Linked DNA regions of Drosophila melanogaster. The protein of the gene in region 1 interacts with the protein of each later gene in a pairwise test. Each region holds a gene or a part of one and is shown in the gene's direction. Other genes may lie near its edges.

The links. Proteins that work in one complex are often made in the same cells at the same time.
Region 2: the proteins of CG8924 (region 1) and Cfp1 interact in a two-hybrid assay, tested with the Drosophila melanogaster proteins (one large-scale study listed by BioGRID).
Region 3: the proteins of CG8924 (region 1) and Smyd4-2 interact in a two-hybrid assay, tested with the Drosophila melanogaster proteins (one large-scale study listed by BioGRID).

What each region holds. Positions count from the first base shown.
Region 1 is NC_004354.4:15,939,530-15,945,005, forward strand, and holds CG8924 (uncharacterized protein), read left to right. Parts: upstream 1-1,547; 5' UTR 1,548-2,103; intron 2,104-2,842; 5' UTR 2,843-2,922; coding exon 2,923-3,761; intron 3,762-3,820; coding exon 3,821-4,526; 3' UTR 4,527-4,920; downstream 4,921-5,476.
Region 2 is NC_004354.4:9,269,895-9,274,977, reverse strand, and holds Cfp1 (CXXC finger protein 1), read left to right. Parts: upstream 1-2,017; 5' UTR 2,018-2,088; coding exon 2,089-2,312; intron 2,313-2,374; coding exon 2,375-3,062; intron 3,063-3,123; coding exon 3,124-4,203; 3' UTR 4,204-4,544; downstream 4,545-5,083. Other genes in the region: aladin, read right to left, coding at 1-51, 288-664, 722-1,006, 1,067-1,464. UniProt on the Drosophila melanogaster protein: Component of the SET1 complex that specifically di- and trimethylates 'Lys-4' of histone H3. Essential for Set1 association with chromatin and trimethylation of histone H3 at 'Lys-4' at transcription puffs.
Region 3 is NT_037436.4:12,399,000-12,403,929, reverse strand, and holds Smyd4-2 (SET and MYND domain containing, class 4, member 2), read left to right. Parts: upstream 1-1,994; 5' UTR 1,995-2,109; coding exon 2,110-2,680; intron 2,681-2,738; coding exon 2,739-3,081; intron 3,082-3,141; coding exon 3,142-3,678; intron 3,679-3,737; coding exon 3,738-3,959; intron 3,960-4,014; coding exon 4,015-4,333; 3' UTR 4,334-4,391; downstream 4,392-4,930. Other genes in the region: CG32104 (uncharacterized protein), read left to right, coding at 4,663-4,789, 4,863-4,930.

The sequences.
Region 1 (5,476 bases):
ATTAAATTCCATAGTGACCGAAGCGTATAGTACGTAAAGAAAATTGATTAAATAATCAAGCAAATCCAACTGTGTGCGAAAGTATTATTGCATTGGCCAATAAATAAAGATTTACTGGGCACAGACTTACGAGGCTTTTATTTGTCAATGAGATTCAGTTTTAGGGGTCTTTAAAGATAACCGCCTGAGCGCAAATTTACTGAGAAATGCAAATATTAGGGAAACGGCATGAGTAATAAAATGGTTGAGTTTTCGGTTCGCCAACATAAAATTAATTTTTGGGCAGTTATTTTAGATTTGGATTTGCGTTTTTGTTAACTAGTGTAAGTTTAGCTGCGGATGCTGTAGCAAAACATTTTCGACACCTAACTAGACTTATACTATCATTCTGATCTATTATATTATACCAATGTGCGTTTTACATCTGTGTAGTTACAATACATTTGGGATAGTTTTTGATCTCCAATTTGAAACAAATAAATGCGTAAAATACAATGAATTCCTACAGATATCGTTGCAAAGACAGCACATAACGGTACATTTAGATGGCAGCAGTAAATGGATTCAAAATCATATGCAAACCTTACTGTGTAACTGTTTTCTTCATTTTTTTACAATATTTTTTAATATTAGACATTGATACTATATACGAATGTAGATATGTAAGTTGTGGAAGGCATCAGCATTTGTTTACTTCTAAAAACGCAGAAAACTGGGAATTTCAACAATGTCTGGTTGGATCCGGCTGCGTTATGACTGCACAATTTACAATGTCAAAGCCAAGCACTTAATAACCACACATATGCGGATGCCCAATGGTAAACTTCCATAAGTTTTTTTTAGACCTCAAATAAAAATAAAAGCACTCACCCTAAAATTCCCGAGTCAGTTTGGGTTGAACGGTGTGACCAGTCGACTGAAAGCGAAAAATGTACACTTCAAATTTTAAGCTGCAAACACTTGTCATGTAAGAGCTATTGTATATTTTGCCGAATAGGTTAAAGTTTTTGTATGCAACATAATATATTAGCAAAAGGACAATAGAAGAAATATATGCAACGTATAATAGTGATACATACATTGTAAAGTATCCGTTAATACACTGTTTCCACTTTTTAGGGCATTTCGATAATTACCGATAATTCTTCAAAAATATCCTGTAACGGCCTTACCTCAAATATTGATTTGTATTTTCTATTCTATTATTTAATATTTATCCTGTTAGCTTATGGTTGGCTTTTTCACATTTAAAGATCGATATGCTTGCGTTCGGCAATTTTCGCTTAGTGGATATAAAAGCGGAACGACTGGAATTTTTTCGCATATGAAACCTGTTATCCCACCGATCCCTATCTATATTTTAATATTTCAATATAAATAGTTTTGTTTCCGCGATAATTCAGCTAAAAAAAATTTTATCGATTGCATGCATTAAGTAACTGAAAAATTAACAACAAACTTTAATATAAAAAAAGCCCGGTACATGAGAATCATTTACTCAGAAACGCGTTTATGAAACGCTTGCAATTCCCAGCAATTATGCCTAACGCGTAGTTTAAATAACAATTGATTGCTACAGAAGCAGACAGCGCGAAAGACAATATTAAGTTTATAATTTAAATATAGCTTGAAGGCAGAGTTAAAAAAGGCAGATACTCAGCGCATAACGTGCAAATCGATTTGGCACTTTAATTTGCCGTTTATTTGTTTATAGTCTGTCAAAACAAACAGTTGTACATAAAAAAAGGAAATATAATCGCGCGCATGCAGCATTTCTGGTTAAAATAAACATTAATAAAGCAACGAATTGAATGGGACTCACGGACAACGATGAGGGATTGTAAATAGAGACATTGGTTAATGCCTGAAATGTACATATTTTTTTGTGTTGTGCACGATTTGATGCAAGAATAGTGTGTATTTTTAAACAAGACTCCGGCGCTGATACATTCATACATAGCTCACGCGCACAGGACATACAGTCCTAACATAAAATTCTCGTTCGTTTTCACGCCATCGCATCTATTGTGTTACATAGCGCCCAAAAAACGAGAAGTAAAGAACTATAATCAGCGAAGTTTCGGTTCCTTGGCAAACAAACAGGTATGTATTCAGATTCGCAGGGATGCGTACATGTATATAACGCGTACATTCAACTGTTTACATCCTTATTACTAAATATAGAAGTAATTCCAATTGTGCAAATCGCTAGTGGAGGTGTACATATGTATTTATGCAAGCGTGCGTATGTATGTGGGTACATAAAACATGGCAAGTGAAAATTCGCATGGTCTTCTCCTCAGTTTCACACTGAGGACATTATTTATTTGGACGATTATCAAATGTAAATAAGCATATACCTCTGCACCTGTATGTACGCTCGTGTGTTTGTATGTATGTATGTATATACAGTGGTCAACTGCTAAAAAGAAAGCAAATAAAAACTTAGGAATAACGTAACTGTCATGCAAAAACAATACAAAAAAGTGGAAAAGGGACAATGCTATTTTTAAACTCATATATTTGGCTAAAATATTCTTTCTTTTAATCCATTATTAAATGAAATGCAAATATTAATGCAATGCAAAAAAAAGAAGTATCTTTTTTTTTCATATATCAAAAATCAAACAAAAGGAGTTCATATAATATATATACTTAATATGCAATACAATATTTTTAAGGGAAACCTACTAGAATTATGATGTCACGAGAAAGATTCGGTCAAATTACTTGATCCTTATTCTTAGTTCATTCAAGAGAGTCGAATTTATGATATATTCGAATTATTGTCTATTGACGATAGTTATAATTTATCCTGGAATTTACCAACACTCTATTGCAGGATATACAAGGATCTTTAAATGAGCGATAGCTTCGTAAACTCAGGAGCACAGTAAAGGCGCGAACTATATTTTGAGTACGATGAGCGGCGCTACACAGGAATTTTGTGTACGCTGGAACAGCCATTTGGGCAGCATTGGAGCTGCTTTTCCGCAGCTGCTAGCAGGCCAGAGATTCGTGGATGTAACACTCGCATGCGAAGGCCAACAGGTGCACTGCCATCGTCTGGTGTTGGCCGCTTGTTCCACCTACTTTGAGGCAATACTAGCGGAGCATCCTTGCAAGCACCCGGTCATCATATTGCCCAGGGAGATCAAGCTATGGGAGATCCAGGCGCTTGTGGACTTCATGTACAAGGGAGAGGTCAATGTCACGCAAGCCGGTCTTGGCCAGTTGCTTCGCTGTGCCGAACAACTGCAGATTCGCGGTCTATACGGCTCTGAGGCACCGATAAACTACAAGAAACTCCAGCAGGCGAGTCTCGAGGCTGCTAAGGATCCAGCTGCAACCACAGCGCGAAGCTTCAAGCATGTGGACAGCGCGGAAACGGACGATGCAGCCACTAATTCAACCACCTCAACAACAATGACCACCTCCTCCGCTCCACCGCTACCGGTTAACCATCAGCAACCCACAGTATTGAAGCGCCAGAATCCCGATGCTCGGCAGCAGCAGCAACAGCAGCAGCAGCAGCAGGTGCAGCAGCGACCCCAGATAAATGGCAGTAATGCTCAACAGCCATCTAAGGCCACCTCTACGAACGTTTTGGGCAGCCACTCGAATGCACCAACCGAGGATGACTCCGGCGACGAGGTGCCGAACAATTGGAATGCCTACGGGGAGCAATTCGATGATTGCAATATATCTGCGCAAGCCGTTGACAACAAAATGAATGTCCACCTATCCCTGCAGCAGGCGAGGTTTGTTTTTGCATTAATATGACAAGTATCTCTGGATAAATATATATATCTTTTCACAGGATGCAAATGCAGCTTCAGCAGCAGCAATACTTGGATTCAAATGTTGAGGACGACCACAACTATGTGGCCGCTCATGATGAAAACAATGACAGCAGTTTTGCGACAGGAGTGCCATGCGGATCCGGGCTATCCCTCAGCCTTGACACTGATCTCGATACATCGGCCAATACTTCCGGAGGACTGAGCCATAGCTCGATCGATGGTTATACTTCATATAAGCGCGTTCGACGTTCAGAAGCATCTCTAGCACAAGCGGCCAAATGTGTTTCGAAGGGCGAGACATTCCAAACTGTCAGCAATATGTTCAATATTCCTGTCTCAACCATTCGTTTCTATATGGCGCGAAAAGGAATTCTTCCGAAGCGGAAACGTGGACGTGGTGCTTCCCATGCCGGAAACATAATAATCACAACAAACTCAGGAAAACTCTCAACCGTCCCAGCGAGCATAACTCATCCCCCAGCCCATCCGCATATCCACACCAATCCCCTTCCTCACACGCAGTCTCAGCAAATGTCCATGGACAGCCTACATCTCAAGGCGGGCATCGCAAATACCAGTGGCAGCAATAGTCCGGCAACTGCAACGGCAACGTCTATGTCACCATCATTTGATATGGCCACAACAGGTGATATTGTGCCTTTTCACCTCCATAGCGATGCGGCGGCATTCAAACTCAACGATCAGAAGCTGCACATGATCTAACCACGCAATTTGCCAAGTTGTGCTGTACTAGTAGGGCGTGTATTAATAGAGAGGGATTTCCAAGCAGTAGCTGCTTTCTTTCATTTCGGGGTACGCATCGGCTCGTGTGGGATCTTTAGTCATAACATAGTCAACAAAATACAATTTATACATAGGTTTACTTAATTACGCTTTGGAGATGCCACAGTTTTATCCTTGGTTGAAAAACTCTTGCCGTTCAATCATTATTCATTTTACTTTGGCAATCATAAGAAATTACAGTAGATGTATGCTATCAACAAGGATTATGACTAAAAACTTGCGTAAAAATTTCAATTATGTTTCTTGTCGCCCCAGTACTTTAAGGAATTACTGTATTGTTAATAAGATAAATAAAATCGACCTGGAAACTTTTACTGGGTATTCGTGTGATTGCAAAGATAAGATGAAAATTTATAATAAACTCGAAGGTCGTAAAAGACATAATCATAATGCTAACAGCTTAAACTAAATAATAATGTAAAGTAATTATTATTGGTCAAATACATCCGATCTATTTTAAAACCATGTACTTTTCCTACAAGAATACGCAAATCTTCAATACTTGCTTACAATTACTCGGTTTGTTTGTTTGCTTATTTTTTTTGGTCATTATAACAATTGGCCATAAATGCAAGAATCCCAATAATAAATTACGTTGTGAAAGTATTATTAAATACATAAGTACTGTGTACGAGATGATTGGGCAATAAAAGTTTAAATGCATTCAAAGTAACAACAATTTTTTTTTTGCTAAATTTATTATTTGAAATTTGTACTGTTACTGTCAATCATTTTTTTTTTATATTTGTACATATGTATGTAGATTAGCACAGTGCAGGCGCAGAATGTTGAAGTGGAAACGGCGCTTTTTGAATACTTCTCATAGAATCTATTTCTTTTCATGTTCAATCAACGGTCACACTGTAAGC
Region 2 (5,083 bases), 6.7 Mb from region 1:
TACAAGCATTTAGATCTGCAATGGGCAGGATTTCCTTCTCATCCGCCGAAGCTGCAAGGAGATACAAAAACGGAATATGTTAAATATCAACTAGTACATTGGTACCGGTTTTTGTTTTTGTAGTCAGCATTATACAGGCGGTCTGTAAGCTGCAACAGCCGCCAACCTGTTACTGACTGCTTTGATCTGGGGCAGCCCCAAATCGCACCCTTGTATCTGACCACCGTTTCAGTTCAGACACTGGGAGCAGACTGCCCTGAATACGTACTCAAAGCTTTCGTACTTACAGGATAGCAGACTCTGTTGCACGAACTGCAGGCGGTAGAGAATCGGTTCGGCACTGCTGACGAAGAGCAGGAAGCGACCGCAGGGCGACCAACAGGCTGTTTGGACATAGCCTCCGGGACCGCACACCCATCGCTCGGTGGTCCATTGCTGGTGGCAGTTCCACACGCGGAACACCCGATCCACGGTGGCTGCGAACAGCCAGTCATTATCCGGCGACCACTTCAGCAGCGAGCCCGGCGGACCCAAACGCTTGAGTGGCTGCATCATTCCGGTGTCCGGCTGCCAGATAATAATGGAACGATCTCCTATTGAGGCGGTGGCCAACTGGGTGCCATCCTTGTTCCACTGCATCGAGGTTATTGGCAGATTGTTTGGGCTAAAAGGGAAAATAAGTTATGTATTTACCAACTAACGATAAATTTTCTATACTGACTATTTAAAAATCTCGCTGGGTGCATTTGTGCGTCCCAAATGCAAAGTGCTGTCCACTTCCCAGAAACACAGACCCTGCCGACAACCTATCACGATCTCGGAAGCGCAGAGTGGACGCCACGCCATGCAGGTGATCTGCGTTTGGGATGGACTCTTTAAAACAGTGGCAGTGGTCGCACTGGAACTCTTTGTGTAGATGCGCACCACATCGTCTACACCGGCTACGGCTAAGCAAAAGAAGTGCTGATTCCAGGCAAGATAGCGCACATCGCTGTTGAGCCAATCCCTGAATGAATGGGACAGTAAGGTTTAGGTATTATTGGTCAGTTGGCTGCGCCCCACCCACCTGGTCTCCACGAACTGAGCAATACGCTCTGCACTAAGCTGCTGGGTGTGCGGGAGGATCCTCAGGCCGGTGGCCAGGCCCAGAAATTGTGCGATTAAATCACCCGCCTGGGCAATAAGCGGCGCCTGCTCCCTGGTCTCTGGGCTGCGTGCCTCCTCCAGCGTCTTCCAGAATCCGCCATTAAAGAAGCTGCGAGCTATGCGCTTTAGGACACCCTCATTCACAGATACGAAGCTCTGTCCGCCGTAGTACCGCTGACCAGCCGGATTGGCCAGAAGTTCGCTGTTCAGGTTTATCTGCGGATAGCGTTCCAGCTCTGGGATGTGATTGTGCCGCAGCGCCAGATCCGGCAGCGTGGAGAACGGCGGACACTGTTTTAGGTTGCTCAGGGCCGCCATAATTGCAGACTATTCACATTCAATTCAGTTCAGTTGAGAAAAAATGGTAACGAAATACAAAGAAAAAACCGCGCGGTTATTAGAGGTGAGAAAAAGCCGACAATGTCAGTGGTAATTCGATGCTTAATTTTTCTATCGATGTTTAATTTTACGAAACTTCGAAAATACTGGGCCGCGGCAAAATCTTAAAGATTATCGAAAAATAAAAATTAGGTATATATAAAGTAACAATCTTTTGTAGGTTTTATATTCACGTTGTTTCTCTTTCAAGAACTCTATTTAATCTCATAGATCTCGAACACACTATCGTTTGTTATTAAGACTATGGAATTAGTTCTCTCGATATAAGTGTTACGAAGCATTTTATATTTATACACAGCTTACAATAAATACCTAAAATTGTTTTTATTGTATAGTCATACATCAATTAAAATCTACAACGTAGTTTTATGCTAAATATTATATATTTTATTAGGCCAGAACCTATCGATTGTCTGCAATACATTATTAGTAGGCTATCGATATCCTTTCATTCACCATCTCCATCGCAAAAAAAAATTCCATGAAACTTAATTGACGGATTTGGATTTGGACTGGATTTGTTGTCGGAAAGATTGCTGCGAGATGACGGACAAGCGCAAATATAAGAAGACCGTAAGTTTCACCCGCTGCACGGCAATCATATTTTTAACTACAAAGGAGGTTTCCAAACAGAAAGAGGAAATCAGGCGGGAGATCGCACGGGAATTTGATTTGCCTGAGCGCAAGTCCAAGATAGCCACCATTCTAAAGCAGGAAGACCAAGCGTACTGCATATGCCGCTCCTCCGACTGCTCCAGGTTCATGATGTGAGTTGAATGGCCTTAAAGGGCTAGATCCCGGCTAACTACTTGTACCCTTCGCTTTCCAGAGGCTGCGATGGTTGCGAGGAGTGGTACCACGGCGACTGTATAGGGATCACCGAGAAGGAGGCTAAACACATCAAACAGTACTACTGCCGGCGCTGCAAAAAGGAGAATCCCGAACTACAAACCATATTCCGCCTGGTGGCCACCGAACGGGCAGCCGCATCGAACGCCGCCTCTACAAGTCTCAATGCCCCGGGCGTAGGTCCATCGGGAGCTGCGCCTGCTGCTGCACCGGTGGCGTCCGCAACAACCAGCCAGCAAGCGCCGCCACCGACCACTGCGGCAGCGAAGCGCAAAAACAGCAGCGCCCGAGAACCAAAGATGGGCAAACGTTGTGGTACCTGTGAGGGATGCCGGCGTCCCAATTGCAACCAGTGCGACGCGTGCCGCGTTCGCGTGGGCCACAAGCCGCGCTGCATATTCCGCACCTGCGTTGTCCAGGCGGCGACGGTCTTAAAGGAGTCGCAGGCAACTCAAGCCGGCCCAAGTAGGAAGCGGGAAAAGGCGGCACCCAAGAGTCGCAATGTCCAAGTGGGCCCGCGGGCGGCCAGTCCGGAGATATTCCTCAATCCGGAGCTACAAGGCATCCGGCAGTGCTACGGACCCAATTGCTGCTCCCATGCGAGACCGCAGAGCAAGTACTGCAGCGATAAGTGTGGCTTCAATCTGGCCACAAAACGCATCTTCCAGGTTAGTTTCATTTTTTGGCCAGACTATGACAATTAAACACCAAAGTCCTTTACACTCTCAGGTTCTGCCGCAACGACTGCAAGAGTGGAATCTAACGCCCAGCCGCGCCGCCGAGGAAACACGCAAGCATCTTGATAACATTCGTCATAAGCAGTCCCTGGTGCGTTTCGCACTTGCCGAGCTAGAGAAGCGCTCCGAAGAGCTCAACATGGTGGTGGAGCGAGCCAAACGAAGCTCCATTGATACATTGGGGTCACAAGACACCGCCGACATGGAGGACGAACAGAGCATGTACTGCATCACCTGTGGCCACGAGATTCACTCGCGCACTGCCATCAAGCATATGGAGAAGTGCTTCAACAAATACGAATCGCAGGCCAGCTTCGGGAGCATATTCAAAACGCGAATGGAGGGAAACAATATGTTTTGTGATTTCTACAATCCGGCAAGTAAGACTTACTGTAAGCGATTGAGAGTATTGTGTCCGGAGCACAGCAAGGATCCGAAGGTGAACGATACGGATGTGTGTGGTTCGCCCTTAGTGAACAACGTCTTCAATCCCACGGGCGAGTTTTGTCGTGCGCCAAAGAAGAATTGCTTCAAGCACTACGCCTGGGAGAAGATCCGGCGTGCTGAGATAGATCTGGAGCGTGTGCGTCAATGGCTCAAGATGGACGACCTGATGGAGCAGGAGCGCGTGATGCGGCAGCAGCTCACCTCGCGAGCGAACCTGCTCGGCCTGATGCTGCACTCCACCTACAACCACGAGGTGATGGACGAGCTGGTGCGCAAACAGCAGGAGCATCTGGTAGAGTTCGAGAAGCAGAGGCGACGCCTGGCTCACCAGCAACAAATACAAACACAGCAGAAACAGTACCAGGAAAAGCAGAAGCTAATGTTGCAGCAACAACAGCAACAGCAACAACAGCAGCAGCAACAACAACAGCAGCAACAACAGCAGCAGCTGCAACAACCACAGCAGCAGCAACAACAGCAGCAGCAACAACAGCAGGAGCAACAGCAACTGCAATTGAAGCCACATCATCTGCAGCAACTTCAACTTCAACTGTTGCAGCAGCAGCAAAAGAAGGCCCAAATACCACAGAAAACTCAAATTATATACCTGCAGAAAAAAACATAGATTTGTAGTCCCCTAATCATAGCAAGAACTAACAATAAACTGACGTCCAAGAAATATTTTTCTACGACAGTAATCTTTGGACTTACCCGACGCAAAGTTTCTAGTGTCGCCTTTCTCCTGGCAACCGCATAACACGCTCGCCAGCTGTTGGGTCCGCTTCCCGGCCAGTAGTAGGTTGCTACGCGCCGGGATCGGCGGTACGCCCATGTTTGTTATTGAAAACTAAGCATCAAATATGCATTTATTGATAGCAACATGCTATTAATACATTAGGCCAGCTCAACCGTGGATATCATTCACATGGATTACATTAGCACACACCTTAATATTAGTTTATTAGCTGGATTCAAGTTATTTATAATTTCTATATACGATTTGTTTTCTGTTCATTGTTAGTTTGTATTTAGAAATAATCTAGAAAATAAGTTAGCATATTAAATACATTTTCTTAAGCTGTAGGCTTTTTTTAATAATGCAGGTTAATATTACTGCATTAAACAAAGTCATGAAAAAAAGAATACTCTACGCTCAACATATTTTGAAGATCATATAGACATAGGCCACCGAGTCCGGGTTTTGATATCCGAAACAATGGTTCCGGGTAAATGAAGAGCGGGGGGCAACCATTGGAAACGGCAGGACCTTGAAAACGATGGAGGCTATGGATTAGAGTGGGCATGCTGTAGTTGGGAGCCAAAAGGAATGTCAGGACGCACAAGTGCAGTGGAAATTTCAAGCGAGTCTGAACGAATCCGGCTACCCGGGCAATCAAGTAGTCGTGGCGATTTGTGACTGTTCCCCCAGACGAACTGTCAAAAATGCCAGTCGTTGTCCGGAACTTTTCTACATCACACACGACCTGCTGATTCAAAGCCAGGAA
Region 3 (4,930 bases), on another chromosome or scaffold:
TGACGCTGTGCTCCATTTTGTATAGTAGTAGCGTTAGGTTAAGTCGGCTCGGTGGTCGCCACTCGCTCTCTGCCGCAATGAGACAGTCTCGTGCTGCTTCTTTCCTTAAGTGTAAAGCAGGCCTCTTCCACGTTCTGGGTTATCCGTTTTAAGTTTTTATAGTTGAATTAGTTTTTGGTTATTTTCTTAAAATATAAAATAAGTGATACTATGGCTAATTTATTTATAAACCAAACGCAAAGGAGAAAATGCAACATTTTGCCGTGTGCTAATCCCAAAACATTTCTTAGGCCAACAATCCTGCGACCTACAAGTAGGTTTAGGCCACTCTATCTCTTAAGAGCTAATTTATTTACAATTGTACGTAGGCTACGACCTTTGTTGAGGGCCATCGCTCTTAGTGAACTGCTAAAAACACACATACCAAAAAAAAAAAAGAAAAAAACGAAACCGGCTTCGAAGAGTTTCACGGGTTTTTAGTTCGTCCCATCCGACTGCTTTCGAAAGCGAATTAGCTTAGCATAAATCAGAGTGAGCCAGGCAGGCGGATTGCGAGTGGGAATCAGGTATCTGAAATCGAGGGATAGACGGATGGATACGGATACTCGGCAGCGTTTAAGCTTAAACACAAAAGACATTAAAACTACGATGTACTCGTTTTTGCTTAGATTAATCGATTACACAAAAAAATGAGAAACACTTAACGTTTACAATGTGATGATAATAGTTTATAATATACACATATAAATACATATAACTATACCTATACCTACTAAAATACCGACTTGTAAGCTTCAAATAGCTGTCGCAGTCTCTTGAGCAAGTTCGGCGGCGAGGCTGAAGAAAACTTTGTAGCATTTTATTTGTTAAGTTTAGTAACACTTCCTCTTAGATCGTATTGCAATTGAAGCCAACGAGATTAATTGTGACGAAAGCTAACAAACAAAACAAAACCAACACAATACCCATACACCATGTAATTTATTTGATATATCATGTGAATCTGAAGCCGATCGCAAAACCGACCAATCATAAGTTCAATCCTATTTTATATACACACTGTAATGGTTTTGAATTTAAAAGCATATGTATAATTTGTACCCTACTCTTAATTAGCCAAATTGAATTTTGTACGACTGTAGTGAAAATAATGACTTTTTAAATATGATTTATCACTGTCCCAAAAAACAAAAAAAAAAAACGCTTTACCACAGCACCGCATTTTTAAGAAGTCAAACACACTTGAATCATTTGACTTGATCATTAAAAATCACCCAATCATTATTCGAGTAAATAAATACAAAGATTATAATGAAATCTACGCAAAATTTGTTTATAATTTATTAGTCTTTTGTTTTTACTTCTACAGGATTTTCGTATGTAGTTTGAGATCATTTTAAGTTTGTTGTCCTCTGCATTTTGACATTATGGCGAACCAAAATTAATGAGTGTCACGCAAAAATGTTACACAAAATATACTCTTCTACTTACTTAAGGTCTTTCCAAGATGATAAACTGATAAACAATGGTTGACAAAGTCTATCTAGTCCATGAGCAAATCTAAATATTAACGAGAGTTTGAAATCAACTTGCGTATTTTCCACGCGATGAAAATACACTTAACATTTAATTACGAATATATATATAACTACAAATACTCTGATATACATATTGTTATATTTTTGTACGTTTAGCTAATTTTTAAATAAATTATTTAATGTGATTTATAAGCCCGATTCCAGTTACAAATAAAATGCGAATTATTACAACTGATCGCTTGCATTTTAAGTGGATATAAAGTTAATTGAGCATAAACATCCAAATAGTGTCAAAGTCGAAACCATGTAAATATTTCTATTTATTTCGAAAATAAATAATATCCTCAAAGAAGTATCGAACGTGAACCAGTACTAGTTCGGAACTCAATACCGCATATTTATAATGCGCCGCCGAACTGAAAGATCGGTGCTATTTTTGGAGTATAGGAACGTCCGCCAGCTGTTTCCAATACTCAGCGGCCGTGTGGTGATCAGAAAACGCGGACAAGTCCCACTTTTTCAGCCGTTGCACCGAAAATCTGAATTAGATTTTACATAATTTTGAGTCCAAATGGAGTTCGACGCCACGTACCACGAGATCTGCTCCGCGCAGACGGTTCAGTCGGAGAGGAGGGGATTCTTCAACGAATTTTGCGTGGACGTGCGTGATGCATGTGGCGACAAGTGGCTGCGCAACTACTTTGGCAAACTGAAGTCCAATGCAGCCCGAGTTCTGTCCATTTTCAGCGATCGCGAGGTGTGCGATCCTGTGCTGGGTGTCCTGGAGCATGTACAGCCGGTGTTCAAGCAGAAGGATGCCCTCTTCTCGGCCCAGCGACGTGCACAGGCGGATAAGCTCTACCTGATGAGCGGCAGTGGCGACGGCGAGGAGAGCAGGGAGCTGCTGCAGCAGGCTCTAATGGCCGCCAATCTGGCCGTGATGCGGGCTCCCGACCGCAATGCAGATCCTGTCCTCGATGAGGGCCTCACCTTGGCATTGGCCTACAGATCGAGGGCTTCCATATTGATCCGCTTGGGCGAGGGGGAGGCAGCATTGAATGACCTCAAGCTGGCCATCAACTTTGGACTGGAGCTCAAGTCCAGTGTGGATTACTACTTAAAGATGGCCAAAGCCTATGCAGGTGGGTCAGCCGGGAGCAACCGATGGTATCATGCTTATGGAAATCCTTTTATTTTCAGTCATGGGAGAACCTGCCCGCGCTGAGATCTCATTGAAGATAGCCGAGAAAATGCCTGGCTGTGATGCCACCCACATCGCACTGTGCCGCAAGGAACTATCATCAGTAAAGCCGAAACCCAAGGAAGCCACCTCGGAACAGGTGCCACAACTGGCACATGGCGAGAGTGCCGAACTAGTTGGTGCGTCCAAGGTGGTGAGGCTGGTGGAGACCAAGGACAAGGGTCGTTTTGTGGTGGCCAACGAGGGTCTGAGAACCGGCGACGTTCTGCTCTTCGAGGAGCCAGTGGCCGCCTGTTTGGAGCCCAGTTACTTTGGCACTCATTGTCATCATTGCTTCAAGAGGTAAGGGATTAATAATGTGAAGTCAGCTGTCAAGCTGTCAAAGAATCCCATTAATTGCAGGCTGCACACTCCCGTTTCCTGTCTCCACTGCTCGGGAATCGCCTTCTGCTCCGCCCAGTGCATGGGCGAGGCCTGCTCCAGTTACCATCGCTTCGAGTGCGAGTATATGGACTTGATGATCGGTTCTGGCATGTCCATCCTGTGCTTCATCGCGCTGCGCATCTTCACACAGGCGCCCAGCTTGGAGCAGGGCTTGGCCACCGCCAATCTGCTCTTCGAGCACTTGTGCTCCCACGAGGAGGACCGCCAGCCGGACGACTACTTGCGGCGAGCTCTGATGTCTGGCTTCCTGTTGCGCATTCTACAGAAGTCGCTGTACTTCGGACGTCGCAAAACTGAGGGAGTGAATCCAACTGCGGTGGAGCTGCAGGTGGCCACCGCTTTGCTGGGCCTGCTGCAGGTGCTCCAGTACAATGCCCACCAGATCTATCAAACCCAAGTGACCGAGGAGCATCGCTTCGACGGCAGTAAGACGGTGTATCTGGCCGCAGGACTTTATGGTACTGGTTCCTACTTCAATCACGAGTGCTGGCCCAGGTGAGTTGTATTATCTTGAATATTATAGAGATCATTAAGGATTCGTCTTATAATTTAAGCACCGCTTGTCATTTTGTTGGCAAGAAGCTGGTCCTCACAGCCACCAGGCCGCATCGTGCCAATGAATTGGTGGCCGTGAACTACGGACCCATTTTCATCAAAAACAACTTGAAGGAGAGACAGCGATCTCTGCGAGGACGCTACTCCTTCAGCTGCAGCTGCATGGCCTGCCAGGAGAACTGGCCACTGCTCCAGAAACTGGACAAGCAAGTGCGATTCTGGTGGGTACTAGCCTCGCTATCAATCGATATACTATAATATCTTTCATTATTAAAGGTGCACCTCAGCCAACTGCTCTAATTTGCTCAAGTTCCCCAAGGATTTGGCAAAGGATGTGCGTTGTCCTCGCTGCCGCAAGAACATCTCACTCAAGGAGAGCGTAGCCAAGATGATCAAGATCGAGGAGCTGTATCGAGAGGCTGCGCGAGCCATGGAGGCCCAGAAAACCGTGGAGGCCATAGAACTTTTCAAGGAGTCGCTCGATATGTTCTTCCAAGTGGCTGCACTGCCTCACAAGGACACCATAGTGGCGCAGCAGTCGCTGCATAAGTGTTTGTCCGATACGGGAACCACATTTAAAAAGGAAGGGAAATGAACGAAAAACTAGTTAATGGCGTGTGCACTTGTATTATTAAATCGTTTTTTTCTACTTGAATGCAAATTAAATTTCATTTTAATGATGTAGGTGTAAATGGTGTACATGCAATTTTTTTAAATTGCCCGCCTTCCTCATTACTGAAATCTAATTGGAAACTTTACTGGGAATTTTACAATTGAAATGTTTTCGCAATAACATAGCTCTGTAAATGCTGCCCTGTTAAGTGTCTGTTAATGGAAACGAATGTTGGTGGTATTTTCTAAAGGTACGGCCACACTGCAGCCGACTTGTTTTGAAATCTATTTGGTTTTGTTTTTCCGGCTAAAATGTTTAAAAAACTTAAGCCAGGTGAAAGTGAGGAGGATGTCCTGCGAATGGCAGCAGAGTTCAATGCAGAGAGAGCGAAGGATCCCAATTTCCAGCCTGCAGCGGCTTTTGTGCGTATGGATAAAGGTGCGGCCAGATTCCCTCTGCTTACCAAATATTTATTAAATACATTTATTGTTGAATTTTTTCACAAATGCAGCTCCTAAAAAGTCCATGTTTGCGCAAAGACGGGAGCAGGCAAAATTGGGGCGTGTTACTTCTACTACG